Linked DNA regions of Saccharomyces cerevisiae S288C. Changing the gene in region 4 together with the main gene of any one other region gives a genetic interaction. Each region holds a gene or a part of one and is shown on either strand. Other genes may lie near its edges. The genes, in order: PHO84, ARO7, MRX11 and PSD2.

Region 1 (4,001 bases), on a different chromosome or scaffold from region 4:
AGGGCGTTCATAATCTCCTTAAACTTCTTCAAATTACTTTGATGGTTGGACATATTGGGTATTAGCGAGCATACAATCTGCGACCATGCCTTGTATAAACTCTCATCCCAAATCGAAGTAGGAAAACCTATCAGATTGGGAAACCCAAATTCCGAAGACGTTTCACTCAGGTTTTTCATCATGATTTGGAACAGCTCCTCTCTCTTATCCAACTGAACAAGATCCATCTTATGCAGAAGAACAAAAATTTTGGCGTCGGGAGAGTACTTCCTTAATTGCTTCAAAGCTTTTGCAAATATTTCAATATCCTTGAGAACTTCAGTTGACTCTACATCAAAAACGTGAATTAACACCTGCACCATCTGGAAAATGTGGTCTTTTTGCTTGGTGAAATAATTCTCCATAAACACGTCCTGCCCACCACAGTCCCACAGATTTAGAGTCATATTCCCAAGAAATCTCAAATGGGAGTGCTCTACATCAATGGTGGCACCCAATCTCCTAGTGTCAAAAGCGGAGTAGTTACTAAAGATGATCGACCTCATTGACGATTTACCGGAGCCGGACCGGCCCATCAGAAGCAGTTTCTTCCTATTATTTGACGACATTACTAAATTGTCGATTGATAAACGTGATTTTGATGGCCTTCACTCCTGTGTAAGATACCTATTGTATTTATTCAAAAAGAAATTATTACCATAATCACAATTTAGGGTAGGGTCCCACATTGAACTTTTCACTTCGTTTTTTTACCGTTTAGTAGACAGAATGCGAGAGTGATAAAGAAGAGGCGGTTAATCAATGAAAAAAAAAAAAAAAAATTTAAAAAAGAAAAGAGAAAAGGAATAAAAAAGTGTCACGTGATAAAAATCACTACCCGGAGATGACTTCAAACGACTCGGTATACTCTGCCTAATAAACCTTAATTTTCTTACAAAAAAAAAAAGATTCAATAAAAAAAGAAATGAGATCAAAAAAAAAAAAAATTAAAAAAAAAAAGAAACTAATTTATCAGCCGCTCGTTTATCAACCGTTATTACCAAATTATGAATAAAAAAACCATATTATTATGAAAAGACACAACCGGAAGGGGAGATCACAGACCTTGACCAAGAAAACATGCCAAGAAATGACAGCAATCAGTATTACGCACGTTGGTGCTGTTATAGGCGCCCTATACGTGCAGCATTTGCTCGTAAGGGCCCTTTCAACTCATCTAGCGGCTATGAAGAAAATGTTGCCCGGCTGAAAAACACCCGTTCCTCTCACTGCCGCACCGCCCGATGCCAATTTAATAGTTCCACGTGGACGTGTTATTTCCAGCACGTGGGGCGGAAATTAGCGACGGCAATTGATTATGGTTCGCCGCAGTCCATCGAAATCAGTGAGATCGGTGCAGTTATGCACCAAATGTCGTGTGAAAGGCTTTCCTTATCCCTCTTCTCCCGTTTTGCCTGCTTATTAGCTAGATTAAAAACGTGCGTATTACTCATTAATTAACCGACCTCATCTATGAGCTAATTATTATTCCTTTTTGGCAGCATGATGCAACCACATTGCACACCGGTAATGCCAACTTAGATCCACTTACTATTGTGGCTCGTATACGTATATATATAAGCTCATCCTCATCTCTTGTATAAAGTAAAGTTCTAAGTTCACTTCTAAATTTTATCTTTCCTCATCTCGTAGATCACCAGGGCACACAACAAACAAAACTCCACGAATACAATCCAAATGAGTTCCGTCAATAAAGATACTATTCATGTTGCTGAAAGAAGTCTTCATAAAGAACACCTTACCGAAGGTGGTAACATGGCCTTCCACAACCATTTGAATGATTTTGCTCATATTGAAGATCCTCTGGAAAGAAGAAGATTGGCTTTGGAGTCCATCGATGACGAAGGTTTCGGTTGGCAACAAGTTAAGACCATCTCCATTGCTGGTGTTGGTTTCTTGACAGATTCTTATGATATTTTTGCCATTAATTTGGGTATCACTATGATGTCCTACGTTTACTGGCACGGTAGTATGCCAGGTCCAAGTCAAACCTTGTTGAAGGTTTCCACTTCTGTTGGTACTGTTATTGGTCAATTTGGTTTTGGTACTTTAGCTGATATTGTTGGTCGTAAGAGAATTTATGGTATGGAACTTATTATCATGATTGTCTGTACCATTCTGCAAACCACTGTTGCTCATTCTCCTGCTATTAACTTCGTTGCTGTTTTAACATTCTACCGTATTGTCATGGGTATTGGTATCGGTGGTGACTACCCACTATCTTCTATTATTACTTCTGAATTTGCCACTACCAAATGGAGAGGTGCCATCATGGGTGCTGTCTTTGCTAACCAAGCTTGGGGTCAAATCTCCGGTGGTATCATCGCTCTTATCTTGGTTGCTGCTTACAAGGGCGAACTAGAATACGCAAACTCTGGTGCTGAATGTGATGCTAGATGTCAAAAGGCTTGTGACCAAATGTGGAGAATCCTTATTGGGTTGGGTACCGTTCTAGGGTTGGCATGTTTGTATTTCAGATTAACTATTCCAGAATCTCCTAGATATCAATTGGATGTTAACGCTAAGTTGGAACTTGCTGCTGCCGCACAAGAACAAGATGGCGAAAAGAAAATTCACGACACCAGTGATGAAGACATGGCAATTAACGGTTTGGAAAGAGCTTCTACTGCCGTCGAATCTCTTGACAATCATCCTCCAAAGGCTTCGTTCAAAGATTTCTGCAGACATTTTGGTCAATGGAAGTACGGTAAGATTTTGCTAGGTACTGCTGGTTCATGGTTTACCTTAGATGTTGCTTTCTACGGGTTGAGTTTAAACAGTGCTGTTATTCTGCAAACCATCGGTTATGCCGGTTCCAAAAACGTTTACAAGAAACTGTATGATACTGCTGTCGGTAATCTGATTTTGATTTGTGCTGGTTCATTACCTGGTTACTGGGTATCCGTCTTCACTGTCGATATAATCGGTAGAAAACCAATTCAATTAGCCGGTTTCATCATCTTGACCGCTTTGTTCTGTGTCATCGGTTTCGCATACCATAAACTTGGTGACCATGGTCTGTTGGCTCTTTACGTCATTTGTCAATTCTTCCAAAACTTCGGTCCAAACACAACCACCTTTATTGTTCCTGGTGAGTGTTTCCCAACTCGTTACAGATCTACTGCTCATGGTATTTCTGCTGCATCTGGTAAGGTCGGTGCCATTATTGCACAAACCGCTTTGGGTACTCTAATCGACCATAACTGTGCTAGAGACGGTAAGCCAACCAACTGTTGGTTACCTCACGTCATGGAAATTTTCGCCTTATTCATGTTGTTGGGTATCTTCACAACCTTGTTGATCCCAGAAACTAAGAGAAAGACTCTAGAAGAAATTAACGAGCTATACCACGATGAAATCGATCCTGCTACGCTAAACTTCAGAAACAAGAATAATGACATTGAATCTTCCAGCCCATCTCAACTTCAACATGAAGCATAAAAGCCTCAAAGATGCACTAAAACTTGTAAACTAGAACAAATAATACAAAAACATTTTTATAAACTTATTATCAAACCCCTTACATAATCTATAAATACTGTCAGGTTACATATTTATTCGATAATTTCTTTTAATTTCATTATTTCCTCACATCTCTCTGCCATCCTGTTGGCTGGTGCCAGAGCAGAGCATATCGTCCTTTCTTTTTTAGTTCCAGACGTTACCCGACATATCATTTCTCGAGCCTCTGGAAACCACGAAACGTTTTACAAATTGCACATCTAAAAGAAATATAAACACAGATCAGGTATCTCATAAAGTACATTAATCGACTAAGCAAGCGACTTGAGACAATGAGAGAGGTCATTAGTATTAATGGTATGTATGCGTTCCTTTTTTTGTTCAATATTCGCAACCAATGGCACCTGTGGGACAGGGAAAGAAGTTTGATCTGATCTGGTTTGATTCATTCCCAATTGGTCACCATCTGGTTGATTTAC
Region 2 (5,652 bases), on a different chromosome or scaffold from region 4:
GTACACATGTCGCATGGAGACAGCGTCGTATACAAAGTGGTATCTTTGTACACTTTGCCCTCTAATCTCCCACAGTTTTCCAAAGTGGAGATCTCACCATGTAGTGTGGCGGATCCCTTTTGAAATCTCATGTTGTGACCACGACCGAGAACACTTCCGTCTTTGTTATTGATAAGACATCCGCCAATAGGAACACCACCCTCTTTGTAACCTAAGGCCGCCTCCTCATAGGCAATGTCCATACCCTTCTGATCCCACTTGCTTGCCATTCCCCCTGTCACCATTAGCTATGAAATTTTTAACTCTTTAAGCTGGCTCTCATCAACATAAAACAATGGCTTGTAGATCTCATTGTCGAATTGAAAATGAACTTTTTAATTTCGCAAAAAAAAAAAGAAAAGTTCAGGGTCTCCGGGTACTACCGCCCCTGCAAGGAATGACCGGTGATAATGGAAGAGAAGATATTACAGCGACAGTATAATTAACAAACACGTTGTGTCTTTAGGCTCGTAACTAACTGTACGTATATCTACACACCATAGGTCACTACTTGCAATATATTTGTTATGCTACACCATAAGTTCGTATACCCATTTTTATTCAAGTGGCACTTATCATGTGTAGAAAAGTGTCCCCCACAAATCACTTTTATAGCTAAGTATGCTACAGCGAACGATAAAAATGGCAATAGAAAACTTACGATAAGGGATGAACAATGGCCTGAGTTGGCAGATCCAACTCCCTATGATATTTTTGGCATTCCAAAGGCCGGATCTGGAAATCCTAAACTGGACAAGAAGTCGTTAAAAAAAAAATATCATCGTTATGTAAAATTGTACCACCCTGACCATTCCGATAACATTCAAATATTTAGCTCAGAAAAGGTTACCAACAGTGATAGTAAATCACCGCTGCTGCTAACATCAAGCGAAAAACTACATAGATTTAAAGTCATCTCTCAAGCATATGATATTCTTTGTGACCCAAAGAAAAAGATCGTATATGACACAACGAGGCAAGGCTGGACCACATCGTATTCACCACGTTCTAACGTTAATACTGAAAATTACCAATATGCCGGCTCTTATGGCTACCACTCTAACGCGCAGTATGAATACTGGAACGCTGGGACTTGGGAAGACGCAAATAGCATGAAAAACGAAAGAATTCAAGAAAACATCAACCCATGGACCGTTATTGGCATAATTTGTGGCCTAGCTATATGCATCGAAGGGACTGCGTTGTTAGCCAAAATCCAGGAGTCTCTGAGCAAGGCCGAATTTACTCATGACGAAAGTGGATTACATTTGATTCAGTCATACACGAATTATGGTCTTGATACTGACAAATTTTCCAGATTGAGGCGGTTCTTATGGTTTAGAACTTGGGGACTTTACAAGTCGAAAGAGGATTTAGATAGAGAAGCCAAGATCAATGAAGAAATGATACGCAAACTGAAAGCAGCTAAATGAAATCACCTATTGCGCCGCTCGCGGAATACAATTACTAAATTTTATATATATTCTTTAAAAATGCATCTATACATTCGTTTTTCCACGTATACCAAATTCGAAAAAAGTTGTTAAACCATCGTTTTCACGTTTTTTAATTTTTTTTTGGTTCTCTTTTTTTTTTTTTTTCAATATCAACTTTTTTTCAAACTTCGTGTTGCATTTCCTTTATCGTAAATTTTCAATGGATCTCTATAATCTTCGAAGTTCGAAGAAAAGAAGAAAAAAAGTATTGAAAAGTTGAAACATCGATTCCGTTTTGCTAACAAATAGCACTCAGCATCCTGCATAAAATTGGTATAAGATATGGATTTCACAAAACCAGAAACTGTTTTAAATCTACAAAATATTAGAGATGAATTAGTTAGAATGGAGGATTCGATCATCTTCAAATTTATTGAGAGGTCGCATTTCGCCACATGTCCTTCAGTTTATGAGGCAAACCATCCAGGTTTAGAAATTCCGAATTTTAAAGGATCTTTCTTGGATTGGGCTCTTTCAAATCTTGAAATTGCGCATTCTCGCATCAGAAGATTCGAATCACCTGATGAAACTCCCTTCTTTCCTGACAAGATTCAGAAATCATTCTTACCGAGCATTAACTACCCACAAATTTTGGCGCCTTATGCCCCAGAAGTTAATTACAATGATAAAATAAAAAAAGTTTATATTGAAAAGATTATACCATTAATTTCGAAAAGAGATGGTGATGATAAGAATAACTTCGGTTCTGTTGCCACTAGAGATATAGAATGTTTGCAAAGCTTGAGTAGGAGAATCCACTTTGGCAAGTTTGTTGCTGAAGCCAAGTTCCAATCGGATATCCCGCTATACACAAAGCTGATCAAAAGTAAAGATGTCGAGGGGATAATGAAGAATATCACCAATTCTGCCGTTGAAGAAAAGATTCTAGAAAGATTAACTAAGAAGGCTGAAGTCTATGGTGTGGACCCTACCAACGAGTCAGGTGAAAGAAGGATTACTCCAGAATATTTGGTAAAAATTTATAAGGAAATTGTTATACCTATCACTAAGGAAGTTGAGGTGGAATACTTGCTAAGAAGGTTGGAAGAGTAAGCATGAAGGCTATCACGGTAACAATTCCACATTGCCGAGTGATTACTACGCATATATAAACACACACACTCACCATATATATGTACGCATAGTAGCATCTATTGAATATAAGAAGATAGAGTTTCAAGTTATACATTATATTGTACTATTTTCTTAAACGATGGCTCATAAATTCTATAGGAATTATCAACCCAATAACCTCATCGCTAATTCAAAAGTAGCAAAAGTGGCACCATTGGCGGGAGCAGCTCTTAGCATGGTAGGACCAAACCCTTTGAAAAAAGCGCCTATCCCTCCATTGGCATATAAAGTCTTGGCTACACTGGAAATAGAATTACCAAATTTAGGCTTTTGTAAATTATCCGTTTGCATGACAGACTTGATGACATCTAATGGATATACCATCAACCATAAGGCAGTGCCAGACAATGCTCCAAAAATACAAAGTTTCCATGCAGGAATGTCCTTTCTCTCTAGTCCACGTCTTTTGTTCATTTGGTTAGCAATCAACGCTTCATACACTAAGAAATATGTGCCACATCCATGACCTTCTCTCAATATTGTAGGTGTTAAACCACGTAGCAAGGCCTTGTTATGTCTTAATTTTTTGATGCATTCCAAAGGACCCTTGAATTCTGCGTTGGTGCCTGAGCCAGTCTGTGTTTGCAAGCGAATCCTGACATGCTCAATTGGGGACGCCAAGAATGAGTTTACTATACCGCCTGTGACACCACATGCGTAATACTGTGGCAATGACAAAGTCGATGACATATCAGCATTGCGATGATGAAAAAATCTCTTCATAGCTTCATTAACACCAAATTGTAATGAAACACATGCACCAACACCAATTAATGGCGTCAGAGTTCCTTTGTAAAACCCGCGAGGCCCTTCATTGGCAAGCAGCTTTCTGACGACTTCCATGGCTGTTGTTGGGGTGCTCGATGTTTGTAACCTAACTTTTGTCGTATCAAAGGGCTGGCCCACTAGCACTTGCGCAATACCACCCGCTGTACCTGCAAGCAAATCTTTCACGACTCGAGCATTATCATGCTGTGGATGTTCTTCCAAATCATCGATTAGTTGAGGAGATGGAAATTCTTCAGACATACTTCTTCGTGATGCGAATTTGATTGACGAGAAACCTAAACAAGAGAGCTGCGTTGGAGTATAGATGATAGTTGTTATTAGCTTATTGACATTGATTGATGCTATAGCATGGCTACATCATCGCTGACAATTTGCGCTCGAGTTTTCTTAGGGCGCCGCTTATCTTCGGCCTATCAGTAAATGTAAGAATGAGTCAATCAAAGTAATAACACTTTTTACTTCCTGTAAAAAACTACATAAGAAATTTATTTACATTATTCTATCAAGTCTTTTTGACCATAGTTCACTGCTATAACAGACACTGTCAGCTCAGTTATCGTCATATTCTCCACCGCGGCTGGTATCTCAACATTCAATTCCGCCATCTCCTTCGGGAGTGTTATTTTATTCTCATGTGCTTCAACTGGCTTCTTTTGAATCAGTTCAAGGCATTTCTTTCCAAGATCTCTCAAGATGCTTGTATATTCTGCCGTGACTCTTTCGGGTGTATGTACCAGTATGTAGAATAGCCAATCTTGCAGCCGACGATAATGCCTTCCTTTCTTGTGTATTTCTTTTATCCATGTATTCGACATATACTTGATCAGAACCCAAAGTTGCTTAGAGGTAATCTTTTCATGAAAAGTAGTATGCTGCGGTTCATTGTTTATAAGGTATTGGAACCACTGGTTGTATCCAACTAGTTCATGTTTATCTCCTTCAGTGATTACTTTTTTTACATCCTCAACACTGTCAATCTTGGTTTTTTCCAGCCGTACCAAAATATTCTTCGCCCATTCCTCATCAATCTGAAGATTTTCTTCCTTCTCTTCTGCCTTCTCAGGAAAGGAATGCTGATTTAGGACACTTATAATTTTTTCAACTGTAGTACATTTGCTGGGCATATCTTCGAGATAATTCTTTAAGAAAAGCAATAAAAGATCCAGTGTTTCGTCCTCATAACCGGTAAACTCGTAGGCATTAGTCAACACCGTCGCCTTCACAGAGTTAAACCACCTTACCCATATTTCTACATTCCTTTGAAGCCTAATCAAGGATGGCGAGATGGCGTGCCTTTTAAGGGCCCCCTCATCCTCATCATCGTACATGCTTGATTTGTGACGCGTCCTCTTTTGCAGATTCATATGATTCTTAATCGATATGGCGTTGGTTCTTAGTGCTTCTTGCCTAACACTTTTAAGATATTCAATGACATCAGGATTCACTGAAGAATCAGATAGTGCAAATGCACGAGATTGACCAAAGATGGCATCAGGCGCCTGGCTTTCTCCTCTTTTCATTGTTTATCACCTAATGTTTCTGTTATGATGGATGTTGGCAATGTTATTGTATGATACATTATCCAAAGCGAACTAATAAATCTACCGAAGCAACAACAGCGATGCACCCAGACAGTACATAGATAGTTATATTATCAAATTCGATATGATTGAAGTCAAAACAGTTCAAAGATGACACAACGTCTTAAGCTAATCACATCAAAAGCTTTTTTTTTTCTGTGGAATGTCCAATATACATGTGCTTAAAGCTAATTTTTTTTTATGTATTATTACGATGCATTGTGACGAAGGTTACCTGCTTGAAACGGATAATGTTCATTCCTTTCGTTCATGGTTTCGTCACCTTCTTTTTGGCTTTCAACCTTGGAACAACTGGTTTCCTCTTCAACTTGGCAATTACGTGCTCATCAAATTGAGAATCACAAGCAGGACATTTATTTCCGGGCGGTATGATTGATAAGACACATAGGCAAACTGAACAGATGAATCCAACGGCAACAACTCTCCCTGTTAAATAGCATGATGTCCTAAAATCTACAGATCCATGGTTTGGCTTAACAATTATAGGTCTTAACGACGGATCAATAAACATTGCAGTTGCTAAATATTGAATTAGCCCTTCTGTAGATTCAACATGTAAATAAACGCCATTTGTGGCATCCGTCGTTTGCTGT
Region 3 (5,328 bases), on a different chromosome or scaffold from region 4:
GATGGACCGCCCTATGCCAACGGCGAGCTCCATCTCGGTCATGCTCTAAATAAAATTCTGAAAGATATCATAAACAGATATCAACTTTCACAGGGGAAGTACATTTTTTATAAGCCTGGCTGGGATTGTCATGGACTACCCATCGAGATTAAAGCTTTGAAAGATTTAAGCGCGCAACAGATCGAGTCAATATCGCCTTTAAAAATCAGGTCAATGGCTTTAAAACATGCACAAAAGGCAATCAAGAGGCAAAGGGAAACTTTCCAACATTTTGCCATCTTAACGGACTGGGAAACACCATACCTAACAATGGATAAAGACTATGAAATTAATCAGCTAAATATTTTTAAAGAAATGTACGAAAGAGGACTGATTAAGAGACAGAACAAACCGGTTTACTGGGGTACAGAAACTAGAACAGCGTTAGCAGAGGGCGAATTAGAATATAATGAAAACCATAAATCCATCGCTGCTTATGTTAAATTTCCTCTTGAAAAGAAATCCCAGATGGATCTGTGCAAAAAACTAGGAATAACGAATAACTTGCCTATATACTGTTTGATTTGGACCAGTACTCCATGGACTCTTCTCTCTAATCGAGCAATCTGTTTCAATCAGGATTTTTCCTACTCCCTATTACGCTTAAATAGTGAACTTATCCTTGTAGAGACCGGCTCCATTGATAAATTGGGCCTAACAACTAACTCATTTGAGACTATCAAACAGTTTCAAGGAACTCATCTAAATGGGCTATATTATCAAAACCTCTTAGTAGACGATAAGGTTGGCAGGCCCTTATTACATGGTGCACACGTTACCAGCGGTACAGGGACTGGATTGGTTCATACAGCACCAGGGCATGGACAGGATGACTATCTCATTGGTATTCAAAATGGTCTTGAAATTTATTCTCCCGTGGATCACCAGGGCCGCTACCAATTAAATGAACTTCCTCAGTCCGTCAGATCCATCGTGAGAGATGAAGGAGACTTAACAAAAGGTAGGCAAGTATTGGATGCCGAAACCGCGAAAATCATTCTATGTAAGTTAAGCGACCTTAATTTACTTTACAAATCTCACGAATACACGCATTCTTATCCGTACGACTGGAGATCCAAGAAACCTGTCATAATAAGAGCTACTCCACAGTGGTTTGCAGATTTACACGATGTAAAAAACTTGGCTCTGGAAAGCATCAGCCGCGTCAAGTTTTGTCCTAAAAGAGGCTATTCAAGACTTTCATCCTTTATGAAAAGCAGAAATGAATGGTGCATATCTAGGCAACGCTCATGGGGTATCCCTATATTAAGCTTTTACAAGAAGAGCGAACCGGATTCTGTTTTGATGAATTCAGAAATTTTGGCACATGCCATAGAAAAAATCAAACAAAAAGGAATTAATGCATGGTTTAACGATAAAGATAATGACATGAAAGAATGGTTGCCAGAAAAATATCACGACGTAGCGCATGAATACTGTCGTTCTCAAGATACTATGGATGTGTGGTTTGATAGTGGGTCGTCATGGAGTGTGATCAAAGACTTTTATGAAAAAAGCTTAAAGTTGTCAAAACTCCCATCCCCCCTGTACCAAGTTTGTCTAGAAGGATCTGATCAACATAGAGGATGGTTTCAAAGTTCACTGCTAACAAAAGTAGCATCAAGTAATGTCCCTGTTGCACCATATGAAGAAGTGATTACTCATGGTTTTACCCTAGATGAGAATGGTCTGAAAATGTCAAAATCTGTGGGAAATACAATTTCTCCCGAAGCAATAATTCGAGGCGATGAAAACTTAGGCTTACCAGCTTTGGGTGTTGATGGCTTGAGGTATCTGATAGCACAATCGAATTTCACAACTGATATAGTTGCTGGCCCGACTGTGATGAAACATGTAGGAGAAGCTCTAAAAAAGGTTAGACTAACTTTTCGCTATTTATTGAGTAATTTACAGAAGTCCCAAGATTTCAACCTTTTGCCGATTGAACAATTACGCCGTGTTGATCAATATACCTTGTATAAGATAAACGAACTGCTGGAAACGACGAGAGAACACTACCAAAAGTACAACTTTTCCAAGGTTCTCATTACTCTACAATATCATTTAAATAACGAGCTATCGGCGTTTTATTTTGATATCTCAAAGGATATTTTATATTCCAACCAAATATCGTCATTGGCAAGAAGGCAGGTCCAAACAACGCTTGTCCATATACTAAATGCATATAGGGCAATTCTTGCACCAATATTACCCGTTATGGTCCAAGAAGTATGGAAGTATATACCAGAAGGATGGTTACAAGGACAAGAACATATAGACATTAATCCGATGCGTGGAAAATGGCCGTTTTTGGACTCAAATACGGAAATCGTCACCTCCTTTGAAAACTTTGAACTAAAAATTCTAAAACAGTTCCAGGAGGAATTCAAGAGGTTAAGTCTAGAAGAAGGTGTCACCAAAACAACACATAGTCACGTTACCATTTTCACCAAGCATCACCTCCCATTCAGTTCTGACGAGCTTTGCGACATATTGCAATCATCTGCTGTTGATATATTGCAAATGGACGATAATAATAACAGTCTACCAACTATTGAATTGGGAAGCGGAATAAACGTTCAAATATTGGTTGAACGAAGCAAAAGGCACAACTGTCCCAGATGTTGGAAGGCCAACTCAGCCGAAGAGGATAAATTGTGTGACAGATGTAAAGAAGCTGTGGATCATCTCATGTCTTGAATGACATGTACCTTTCCTGTATATAAAGAATGCCAATTATTGGCTCTTAGAAAATAAAAACCCTCTTGTACTTATTAGTGGGTACCTAACAGGTCCCCTACTGACATTTTGATGCAGGGCCTCGGCCTATTGTTCTTACCAGCTCTCAGCGCGTTATACGAACAGGAAGCAAAGAAGAGAAATGTAAAAATATTGCTTTTGAGAGACCGTGTAAGGATAAGTGTTACACCCAAGGCACCCTCACCAGGAACATGACTGTCATGAATCTTTTCTTCAGGCCCTGTCAACTGCAGATGGGCTCTGGACCGTTGGAGCTCATGCTTAAAAGGCCAACGCAATTGACCACGTTTATGAACACCAGGCCCGGCGGATCAACCCAAATTAGATTCATATCGGGAAATTTAGATCCAGTGAAAAGAAGGGAGGATAGACTACGTAAAATATTTTCCAAGTCACGACTTTTAACAAGGTTAAACAAGAATCCTAAATTTTCACACTATTTCGACCGCCTCAGTGAGGCCGGCACGGTTCCAACACTTACATCATTCTTCATCTTGCATGAGGTAACTGCCATACTACCACTGTTTCTACTATGGTGGTTACTTTATAACCTCGATCTTTCTGATGATTTTAAGCTCCCAAACTTCTTAAATGGCCTAATGGATAGCTGTCATACAGCTATGGAGAAATTTGTTGGTAAGAGATATCAGGAATGCCTCAACAAAAACAAGTTGATTTTATCTGGCACAGTAGCCTACGTTACAGTAAAATTACTATATCCGGTACGCATTTTCATTAGTATCTGGGGAGCACCATATTTTGGGAAATGGTTGCTTCTTCCCTTTCAAAAATTAAAGCACCTTATTAAGAAATAAAGCTTTTTTTTCCTTTTTTTTTTCTGGCCCAGAGACGGATTATTGTTTTCAGTTGAAGTTGCGCACTCGGCATATGATTTATAGATTCCCAATATATTGTACTTCGTTATATATGTGTTACGAATATTTTTGATTTCGTTTTAGAGAGTTTTGATTAGAGGAAATTATAGCTTTTTTTAACAGTGAAATAAATATCATACATCAAAAGTCTTCAAGAATTACGTGGTGTGGCTTAAGTTGCGTTTCATTTTCCCGCTTCAATACTTGAAAGTTATCCCACAATCACTGCTGACAAAAAGGATACAAGAAAGGTTTATAGGAAAGAAAAAAGGCGGAAGGGTATACTGAAGTTAGTAATTTTGCTTCCCAATTGAATTAAGGCCGCCTAGTTTTGACGGGAGGAGAGAGAAATGTATAATGGCAAGGATAGAGCACAAAACTCCTATCAGCCAATGTACCAAAGGCCTATGCAGGTACAAGGACAACAGCAAGCTCAATCGTTCGTTGGAAAGAAAAACACAATCGGAAGTGTGCATGGAAAAGCCCCGATGCTAATGGCCAATAATGATGTTTTTACTATTGGACCTTATAGGGCAAGAAAAGATAGAATGCGGGTATCTGTCTTAGAAAAGTACGAAGTTATTGGCTACATTGCTGCGGGCACATATGGTAAAGTTTACAAAGCGAAAAGACAAATCAACTCCGGTACCAATTCCGCTAATGGTTCTAGTCTGAATGGTACCAATGCGAAAATTCCGCAGTTTGACAGCACGCAACCAAAATCAAGCTCTTCAATGGACATGCAGGCAAATACAAACGCATTAAGAAGAAACTTGTTAAAGGATGAAGGAGTGACCCCCGGAAGAATACGAACTACGAGGGAAGATGTATCCCCGCACTATAATTCCCAAAAACAAACCCTCATTAAAAAACCGCTGACGGTATTTTATGCCATTAAAAAGTTCAAGACAGAGAAGGATGGCGTCGAACAATTGCATTATACGGGAATATCTCAGAGTGCCTGTAGAGAAATGGCATTATGTCGAGAATTGCACAACAAGCATTTAACCACATTAGTGGAAATTTTTTTGGAAAGGAAATGTGTCCATATGGTATACGAATATGCGGAGCATGATCTGCTACAAATTATCCACTTCCATTCCCATCCCGAAAAAAGGATGATACCACCAAGAATGGTTCGGTCTATTATGTGGCAGCTTTTAGACGGCGTATCGTATCTTCATCAAAATTGGGTGCTTCATCGAGATTTGAAACCCGCAAATATAATGGTGACCATAGATGGATGTGTTAAAATTGGTGATTTAGGTTTGGCCAGAAAATTTCATAATATGCTGCAAACCCTCTATACTGGGGATAAAGTGGTTGTCACTATATGGTACCGTGCACCTGAGTTGCTATTGGGAGCACGGCACTATACCCCTGCGGTTGATTTATGGTCCGTTGGCTGCATTTTTGCAGAACTGATAGGATTACAGCCCATATTTAAAGGTGAAGAAGCTAAACTAGACTCTAAAAAGACTGTTCCATTTCAAGTGAATCAACTACAGAGAATTTTGGAAGTTCTTGGCACTCCCGATCAAAAAATTTGGCCTTATTTGGAGAAGTATCCAGAATATGATCAAATTACGAAGTTTCCAAAGTATAGGGATAACCTTGCTACATGGTATCATTCCGCGGGAGGAAGGGACAAGCA
Region 4 (8,225 bases):
CGTCGTGCTGTAGAGATTCACGAAAAGGATTTAAAGGACGAGGAGTTAAAAAAGGAATTGCAGGATGAAGCTATCAAACATATTGACGATTTTTACGATTCTTACAATAAAAAGAAGGAACAACAATTGGAAGATGCTGCTAAGGAAGCTGAGGCTTTCTTAAAGAAAAGAGATGAATTTTTTGGTCAAGACAATACGACCTGGGATCGTGCACTTCAATTAATTAACCAAGATGATGCCGATATCATTGGGGGTAGAGACAGGTCTAAGCTTAAAGAAATTCTTTTGAGATTGAAAGGTAACGCGAAGGCTCCCGGTGCTTAAATGATGATGAATAATAAGAACCATAATGAACTAAGGAAGAGAAGGGGCTTATTCCCTATCATTCCCGTCATACATGAGTATCATACTTGATAGGTTCAGTAAATAACTAATTCATACTGTAAATTCATTTATCAAGACAACTATAATATAGATTATTTACAAACTTGTAAACTCTTCTCTTCTAAAAAAACACATCACATAATACTAAGCTGAAACAAAAAGAATAGTATATATTTCCCAAAGTTGCAATGCCAATACTTTTTCAAGTAAACATTAACCAAGGACTTCGCAAAGAATTTTGCGAAAAATGGGCTGATTTTCATTTTACTTGTTGGATCCACGAAGGTGAATGTAAGAAGCATCACGATGCACCGCAATTTGTTGCCCATTAATCTGCGCCTTTTCGTGACGAATAAATATTCGATACACTGCCTTAATATAGTCCATTTTAGACTTGGAAAAAAACCCTTGGTGAAATATGAATTTATTATCTTTTCGTTTATATTTGCATAATTATCATCAATTGTAACTTCATGTATTTCATTTAGTCTGTCCATTACATGCTTCAAATTTGATGAAGATATGGGCCAATCATTATGGTTCTTGACCCCAAGGTATTGAGAAAAGTTCCTGACTTCGTGGCCGCCGACATTCTTATTTGATTTCGTCCCTGAAGTAAAAAAGAATTTTAATGTTCTGTGATATACTGCCAAAACTGTGAAAATGGCATTGATTGTGAAGAAATCTATTAAAAATGGCCTATGGTCAAAAAGCACACGGAATGGTAACGAACTCCTGTCCAGTTTGGCAAATAATACAATAATCGCTAAACACACAAGAATTTGCTGGAATTTTATTAATGTACCCTGGGAAAAATTTTTTTTTTTCAACCATTGTGTTAATTTTGCGATCTTTAATTTGGAGGCTATAGCTTCCACAAGAAAGTGTGCGATAATCCACGAAGGTACCTCACCCTTGGTAAGCATTAACGATATTCCTACAATGGAAGACCAGTGAATATAATGATTTTTTAAAAATGGGAACTTCATCAAAGTTGGATATAGTATGTTCAGCAAGACTAATATAGTAGACTCTCTTAGCCATGGCATGATATCATTTATTTGAATATTTTCACCCTGTAATTTTTTCAATTTCCATTTTTTGACATAAAATACTAGGTTTATTCCATAGACTTGGGTTATTCTTTTCAAGATGATGACGAGTTGTTTTCTTCTCTTCTTGTTCAAGAGGAGTAGAAGCCTTCTTATTATCTGCTTGAAGCCAGAAACTGCTTTCCCAGTACCATTTGGACGATTGTGTTTCATATAGTTAGCAAGTGTATACTCTCATTAGCTCTGTTCGCGATGTGTATTTCGTGGTGCTTTATATAGGGTTTTTAACTTTTCCCCATGAACATTCGCTGTTATGTATTCGCAACTAAAAATAATGTCTCTCTTTAATTTTAATTTACATCCAAAGTACGGAAATGGTAACTAAACTATATACAAAAAAAGTTCGCTCAAAAAAAAGTTTAACTATTGTCCAATTGTGCCCATTTTGGTAAATCTGTTTTGAACTTGAATTTGCCATTAATCTCCTCATACTTCCAAGCATGCAACCATAATTCTAGGTCTGATAGCACAGGATCCTTTAAATCAACAGTATGACATTCAGGACAAAATGTTTCCATTGTCCGACAATTATTTTTTGTCTCATCGACAAATTTTTGAAACCTCACTTTCAATTCCTCAGCATCTAAATCCTGCTGATTCTCCCATCTAGGAAACTGAGTTATAAACTTAAGCCTTTCGGGGTATTTTGTAATATGCGAACAATAAACACTATCGTTGACGATGGGATGACCGAGCCTAGCTAAATGGATTCGAATTTGGTGTGTTCTTCCAGTTATTGGCTTACAAGCGACGACAGTTTCATCAGCATGAGAGAAGTATCTTATTGGGTAGAACTTGGTAATAGCATCCTTCGATGTCGATAAACCAACTGGAAACTGTCTCTTTGGATCGATAGAATATATGGGTGTCATTTCCACTGTAACTTTGGAAGTGTCCTCAAAAGTCGTTTCCGCCGCATTTTCATTGTCCAATATCAATTCGGAGTGAGGAAATCTTCCCTTGACCCTTGCCAAGTAGATCTTAATCATATCTCTTGAACGAATACTCTTCTGGATTTCCCCCGCACTCTGACTGTTCTTGGCCAATATCAACAAGCCTGATGTGATCTTGTCTAACCGATAACAAGGAAGAGCATCTACACCATGTAACTTCAGTAATTCAGTAATTGTGTTCTGGTAAAACTGACCGGTTGGATGCACTGGTATACCACTGGGTTTATCAATGACGAGGATACTCTCATCTTCAAAAACAATATTGAATCCCGCTATTCTGCCAGGTAAATCCTCCGCTTCAACTTCCTGGCTACACCATTGTTTTACCGGCGGTTCGTGCTTATGCGTAGTTGTTTCTAAAACATCATGATTCTTGATTATGGTAGTCATGAGATGATCTGGTACCAGCGGCACACCATCTCGGATCAACCTATATGTGCCTTTCCTTATTTGGTCCAAATAATAAGCTCTTGGGCGAAGTTTAAATTCACTAACGAGAACGTCTATTAGTAACTTACCCAACCAGCGCCCCTTCACGAACGCTGATCTTCTGTTATAATAGGGCCGTACCTTTCTCAGTCCATTCTGTGTATATACCTCAATAACTTTGATAGTTGACATACTTGACAATCATCCTTTTGCCCACTGATTGTCTCGAGCAATCGTCAATAAAGTTTTCACAAGAAACATTTATTTGCCTTTTAATGAAAGAAAAAAAGTAAATTTTTCATTAACTTTTATCATTGTTATCAATCTTCTTGTATGACAGCAAGCTATATATACATACATATGCAAATCTAATGTACATAATTTCAACTATTCATACCATTAGTACCATAAAGTCATTCTTTTTACTGTAAACTACACTTGCATTATCCTTCCTCGTCCCTCTTTATTCTTATAACGTTGAACAGTGATTTCTTACCATGTGTATTTTTGTACTCAACCCGCAAAAGATAAGCATCCTCATACAGAAGTATTATTATTACCACTGTTACTTTTATTGTCGTTATTTGTCTTGCGTTTTTATGTTTATGGAGATAAAGTGGGAATGACTTTATCATATGCAATTATTAGCCGCTATAAGGCTAAGATTCTTCAAATTTATTTCATTTTTCTTTTACCCTTGCCACCCTTGCCCAGTTGCTCCTCCTCTGCGGTTAGCAACGCATCGCGCTCCTTTTTAGCTCTTGCTTTTTCTTGTCTTTTTTGCTCTTCCTCTAATTTTTTGGCATTCTCTTTCCTCGAACCTTGTTCCCATTTAGAAGCTTCCTCCGCTTCTAGCTGCTCCATTTGTGCTCTTTGTTTAGCATGTGCCTGATCTCTTTTTCTTGCTAAGCCAGCTGCTTTCTTTGCGGCGGATTCTGAAAATCTTTTACCCATCTTTTTACTTCCTCTTTGCTATTCTATTATTTCCTGTATAGGCAGGTTTTGTGCTCAATTGATAAATTCTTTTACCTATTAAATATAAACTTGAGTTTCAACTTATTCAGCTTTATTTTAAACATTATACAAGTTTTTCATTTTGAGGGGTCTTTAACTGGAAAAAAAAAGCTTTCACGACTCAAAGAAAAAAAAAAAAATTTTTTTAGGGTAAAAAAAAACTAAGGGCTAATATGAAAAATACAAAGGTTATGTTACTTTAAAATGAGGTTTGGAAGAAGGAGAAAGACAAAAAAGCAGGGCACATGTCAAACTCTTGGAAACTTGAGATCCTAGCCCTAACGCATGTGCTACTTCAAGGAATTCTTCTTATATATGACAACTATTCCAATTTGATGCTAAAACTAGCCCAAAGTGGTTGATGCTGTATCAATTGGTAAAGAATCCTCGATTTTCAGGAGCATCCAACGACGAAGATGAGGATTATTAAGGGCAGAAAGCGAGGCAAGAACAAGAAGCCAACGCTAATTTTAAAAATTCATGTCATTCAAGCTGAAAATATTGAAGCCTTGAAGACATTCAATTGTAACCCGGTATGTTTTGTTACCACTAATACATTTTATAGTCAAAAGACGAACAAGCTCAAGAACTCAAATACACACTGGAATCAAACCTTGAGGATCAAACTTCCGAGAAATCCAACATCTGAATGGTTAAGGATTATAGTATACGACGCCCTACCAACCGGAGCTCCCCCTACTACCCCCAGTAGACCAAGGACAACCACTGCAAATACATCTTCATCGACACTGTCAAATTCAGGGCTAAGTTCTCACTCTCATTCGTCGAGAAATTTGAATGTTACGTCCAAAGGTAATCAAACTTCAACATCAATTAATTCAGTATCATCTTCAGCTACACCGGCCCCTTCACATTCTTCCTCTTCTCTCTCAACAACAGGTCCCGGGTCCACACACAAAAATAGGATTAATAGCTATCTATATTTGGGTGAAGCAAAAATTTCATTACTGGATTTATTCAAGAGGAAGGACACCACGACGAGCTATAAATTTTCAATTGAAGCTCAGCGGTACCATCTATACGATATGAAAGGAGGGAAAGACCAAGATTCCTTGAACTGCAACTTTCTAGTGGGCGATATTTTGCTTGGATTTAAGCTAGAATGTAACGTTAAAAGAACCCCGACTTTTCAGGCTTTCAATGCTTGGAGAAATGAGTTGAACACTTACTTGGGCAGAATAGATAGAAATAAGGCCCGCATGAGATCTTCTAGTTCTTTGCCACCTCCACTAGAAGATATGTTGAGCAATAGTTCAGCTGTTAGTGGAAATGAAATACGACGCGAGAAACCATATAGCGATACTGATCTAGCCCACGATGAAGAGGTCAATGCCGAGGATGAAATAGATGCTGAGGAATCTATTGAAGATATGAATAGCAGCGGCAGCATTTGTACGGAGAGGAGGTACGATATAGACAATGATACTATATTCGACTCTATATCTGAGGTTGTTTCGCTAAATGATGAAGAACTAGATATTCTAAATGATTTTGAAGAAGCAGATCATCCAAATGTGCCAGACATAAATGTGCATGACATCGACGAAGATACCCGTATCAGTCTATCTTCAATGATAACAGCTTTAGATGAATATGATATCGTAGAACCAGAAGATGTTGCAAAATTACCTGCAGTGTCGGAAAATGACATAACATCAGTGGATGACGAAGAATCTGAAAACCAACAGGAAAGTGATGAGGAGTTTGATATATATAATGAGGATGAGCGTGAAGATTCTGATTTTCAATCAAAAGAATACATTGGGAGTCGGCTTTTACACCTGCAAAGGGGTAAACATAATAAATCATATGCAAATTACTTATACAGAAGAGCAAAAAGTAACTTTTTTATATCGAAAAAGGAACATGCGATGGGGGTAGTATTTATGCATATTGGGGCTATCAAAAATTTACCTGCATTAAGGAATCGGTTGTCCAAGACTAATTATGAAATGGATCCATTTATCGTTATTTCGTTTGGTAGAAGAGTATTCAAGACATCTTGGAGAAAACATACTTTAAACCCAGAATTTAATGAATATGCCGCTTTCGAAGTTTTTCCCCATGAAACGAATTTTGCTTTCAGTATCAAAGTTGTTGATAAAGACTCATTTTCATTCAATGATGACGTTGCAAAATGCGAACTGGCTTGGTTTGATATGCTGCAACAGCAACAACATGAAAACGAATGGATACCTTATGAGATACCATTGGATCTCACTGTTGAGCCAGCACATGCTCCTAAGCAACCGGTATTATATTCGAGCTTCAAATATGTTTCATATCCGTTCTTAAAAAAGAGCTTTTGGAAAGAAGCTGTTGACACATCAGTCAACTTAGAGAGACTCGACATTATTCAAGTAATGCTCTATCTTGAACGTCTTGGTTCATTCACGATGGCCGATTCTTTTGAACTCTTTCAGCATTTCAATAAATCTGCTTGGGCCGGCCAGAGCATTACTAGATCACAATTAGTTGAAGGGCTACAGTCATGGAGAAAATCCACTAATTTTAAACGCATCTGGACATGTCCTAGATGCATGCGTTCATGCAAACCAACTAGAAATGCTAGACGTTCTAAACTGGTTCTAGAAAATGACTTGATAACCCATTTTGCCATATGTACGTTTTCAAAAGAACACAAAACTTTAAAGCCGTCGTACGTCTCATCTGCATTTGCATCCAAGAGATGGTTCTCTAAGGTTTTGATAAAATTAACTTATGGTAAATATGCTTTGGGATCTAACAATGCAAACATCTTGGTTCAAGACCGAGACACAGGGATAATTATTGAGGAAAAAATAAGCGCACACGTAAAGTTGGGAATGAGGATTATATACAATGGTAAAAGTCCCGAGTCTAAAAAATTTAGATCCCTCTTGAAGACTTTATCAATCAGGCAAGGCAAAAAATTTGACAGCACTGCATCTGCCAAACAAATTGAACCTTTCATAAAGTTTCACTCGCTAGACCTTTCACAATGCCGAGATAAAGATTTTAAAACATTCAATGAATTTTTTTACAGGAAACTAAAACCAGGAAGCCGGCTGCCTGAAAGTAATAATAAAGAAATATTGTTTTCACCAGCAGATTCAAGATGCACAGTGTTCCCAACTATACAAGAATCGAAGGAAATATGGGTGAAAGGAAGAAAATTTTCTATTAAGAAACTAGCCAATAACTATAATCCGGAAACATTTAATGACAATAACTGCAGTATTGGTATATTTAGACTGGCGCCACAAGATTATCACCGGTTTCACTCACCATGTAATGGTACGATTGGAAAACCTGTATATGTGGATGGAGAGTATTATACTGTAAATCCAATGGCCGTTCGTAGTGAGTTAGACGTCTTTGGTGAAAATATCAGAGTTATTATCCCCATCGATTCTCCTCAATTTGGCAAACTACTGTACATACCTATTGGTGCAATGATGGTTGGATCCATACTATTGACCTGCAAAGAAAACGATGTAGTTGAGAGTGGACAGGAGCTGGGCTATTTTAAATTTGGAGGTTCTACTATAATAATCATTATCCCGCACAACAACTTCATGTTTGATTCCGACCTTGTGAAAAACTCTTCAGAACGCATTGAAACGTTAGTCAAAGTCGGGATGAGTATAGGACACACATCAAATGTGAATGAATTGAAGAGAATCCGTATTAAAGTAGACGACCCAAAGAAAATTGAACGGATCAAGAGAACAATTAGTGTTAGCGATGAAAATGCCAAGAGTACAGGAAATGTAACATGGGAATATCATACTTTACGGGAAATGATGAATAAAGATTTTGCTGGGCTATGAAGCCGCCGAAAAATTGGCTGTAGTTAGTGGTTACCAAAATGGAAAAAAAAAAAAAACATGAACAATCTCCCTCAGACTTTATTATAGACTATAGCGTGTACAAACAAGTCATCGTTGATAATGAAAGCAATGGTTTCATACCAGGAAATTTCCTATGAAAAATATGCATTTTTATTAGTAACAAAAGAAACTATATTCCTAGTCCTCTTGCAGAAAATACGATATAATACTTAAGTTAATATTTACAGTGCAGTAAGTACCTTTTTCATGACCTCATATTCGTTTGTTCCTCTTGCAACCTGAATGGAATTTTTTTCAAAGGTACTTCTCGGCCTTTCTTGTTAGATTGCTTTCCATATGTTTTATCGGAACCCAATCTAGCATAATTTATAGTCCTTTTCTCCTTTGAAACATCAATACGATCTAGGAAACTTTGTGAGAGAGATGGTATAATGGATTGGCATAAAATGGAGAGGATTCTAGACGTTTCCATAGCCAAA

The links.
Region 1: mutations in PSD2 (region 4) and PHO84 together harm fitness more than expected from each alone (negative genetic interaction), as found in Saccharomyces cerevisiae (2 studies listed by BioGRID).
Region 2: mutations in PSD2 (region 4) and ARO7 together harm fitness more than expected from each alone (negative genetic interaction), as found in Saccharomyces cerevisiae (3 studies listed by BioGRID).
Region 3: mutations in PSD2 (region 4) and MRX11 together harm fitness more than expected from each alone (negative genetic interaction), as found in Saccharomyces cerevisiae (2 studies listed by BioGRID).

Annotation. Positions count from the first base shown.
Region 1 is NC_001145.3:23,537-27,537, reverse strand, and holds PHO84 (phosphate transporter PHO84), read left to right. Parts: upstream 1-1,737; coding exon 1,738-3,501; downstream 3,502-4,001. Other genes in the region: Rag GTPase GTR1, read right to left, coding at 1-608; YML122C (uncharacterized protein), read left to right, coding at 1,120-1,500; alpha-tubulin TUB3, read left to right, coding at 3,855-3,879. UniProt on the Saccharomyces cerevisiae protein: Proton-coupled high-affinity transporter for external inorganic phosphate.
Region 2 is NC_001148.4:671,797-677,448, reverse strand, and holds ARO7 (chorismate mutase ARO7), read left to right. Parts: upstream 1-1,817; coding exon 1,818-2,588; downstream 2,589-5,652. Other genes in the region: FCY1 (cytosine deaminase), read right to left, coding at 1-284; JID1 (Jid1p), read left to right, coding at 567-1,472; YMC1 (organic acid transporter), read right to left, coding at 2,775-3,698; BRR1 (Brr1p), read right to left, coding at 3,953-4,978; TFIIH/NER complex subunit TFB4, read right to left, coding at 5,307-5,652. UniProt on the Saccharomyces cerevisiae protein: Catalyzes the Claisen rearrangement of chorismate to prephenate. Acts at the first branch point in the aromatic amino acid pathway where it steers biosynthesis towards phenylalanine and tyrosine, and away from tryptophan.
Region 3 is NC_001148.4:473,404-478,731, reverse strand, and holds MRX11 (Mrx11p), read left to right. Parts: upstream 1-2,990; coding exon 2,991-3,614; downstream 3,615-5,328. Other genes in the region: isoleucine--tRNA ligase ISM1, read left to right, coding at 1-2,739; cyclin-dependent serine/threonine protein kinase SSN3, read left to right, coding at 4,025-5,328. UniProt on the Saccharomyces cerevisiae protein: Component of MIOREX complexes, large expressome-like assemblies of ribosomes with factors involved in all the steps of post-transcriptional gene expression.
Region 4 is NC_001139.9:832,834-841,058, forward strand, and holds PSD2 (phosphatidylserine decarboxylase 2), read left to right. Parts: upstream 1-4,308; coding exon 4,309-7,725; downstream 7,726-8,225. Other genes in the region: clathrin light chain CLC1, read left to right, coding at 1-324; PEX35 (Pex35p), read right to left, coding at 519-1,649; pseudouridine synthase PUS6, read right to left, coding at 1,856-3,070; LSO2 (Lso2p), read right to left, coding at 3,554-3,832; methionine--tRNA ligase MSM1, read right to left, coding at 7,991-8,225. UniProt on the Saccharomyces cerevisiae protein: Catalyzes the formation of phosphatidylethanolamine (PtdEtn) from phosphatidylserine (PtdSer). Plays a central role in phospholipid metabolism and in the interorganelle trafficking of phosphatidylserine.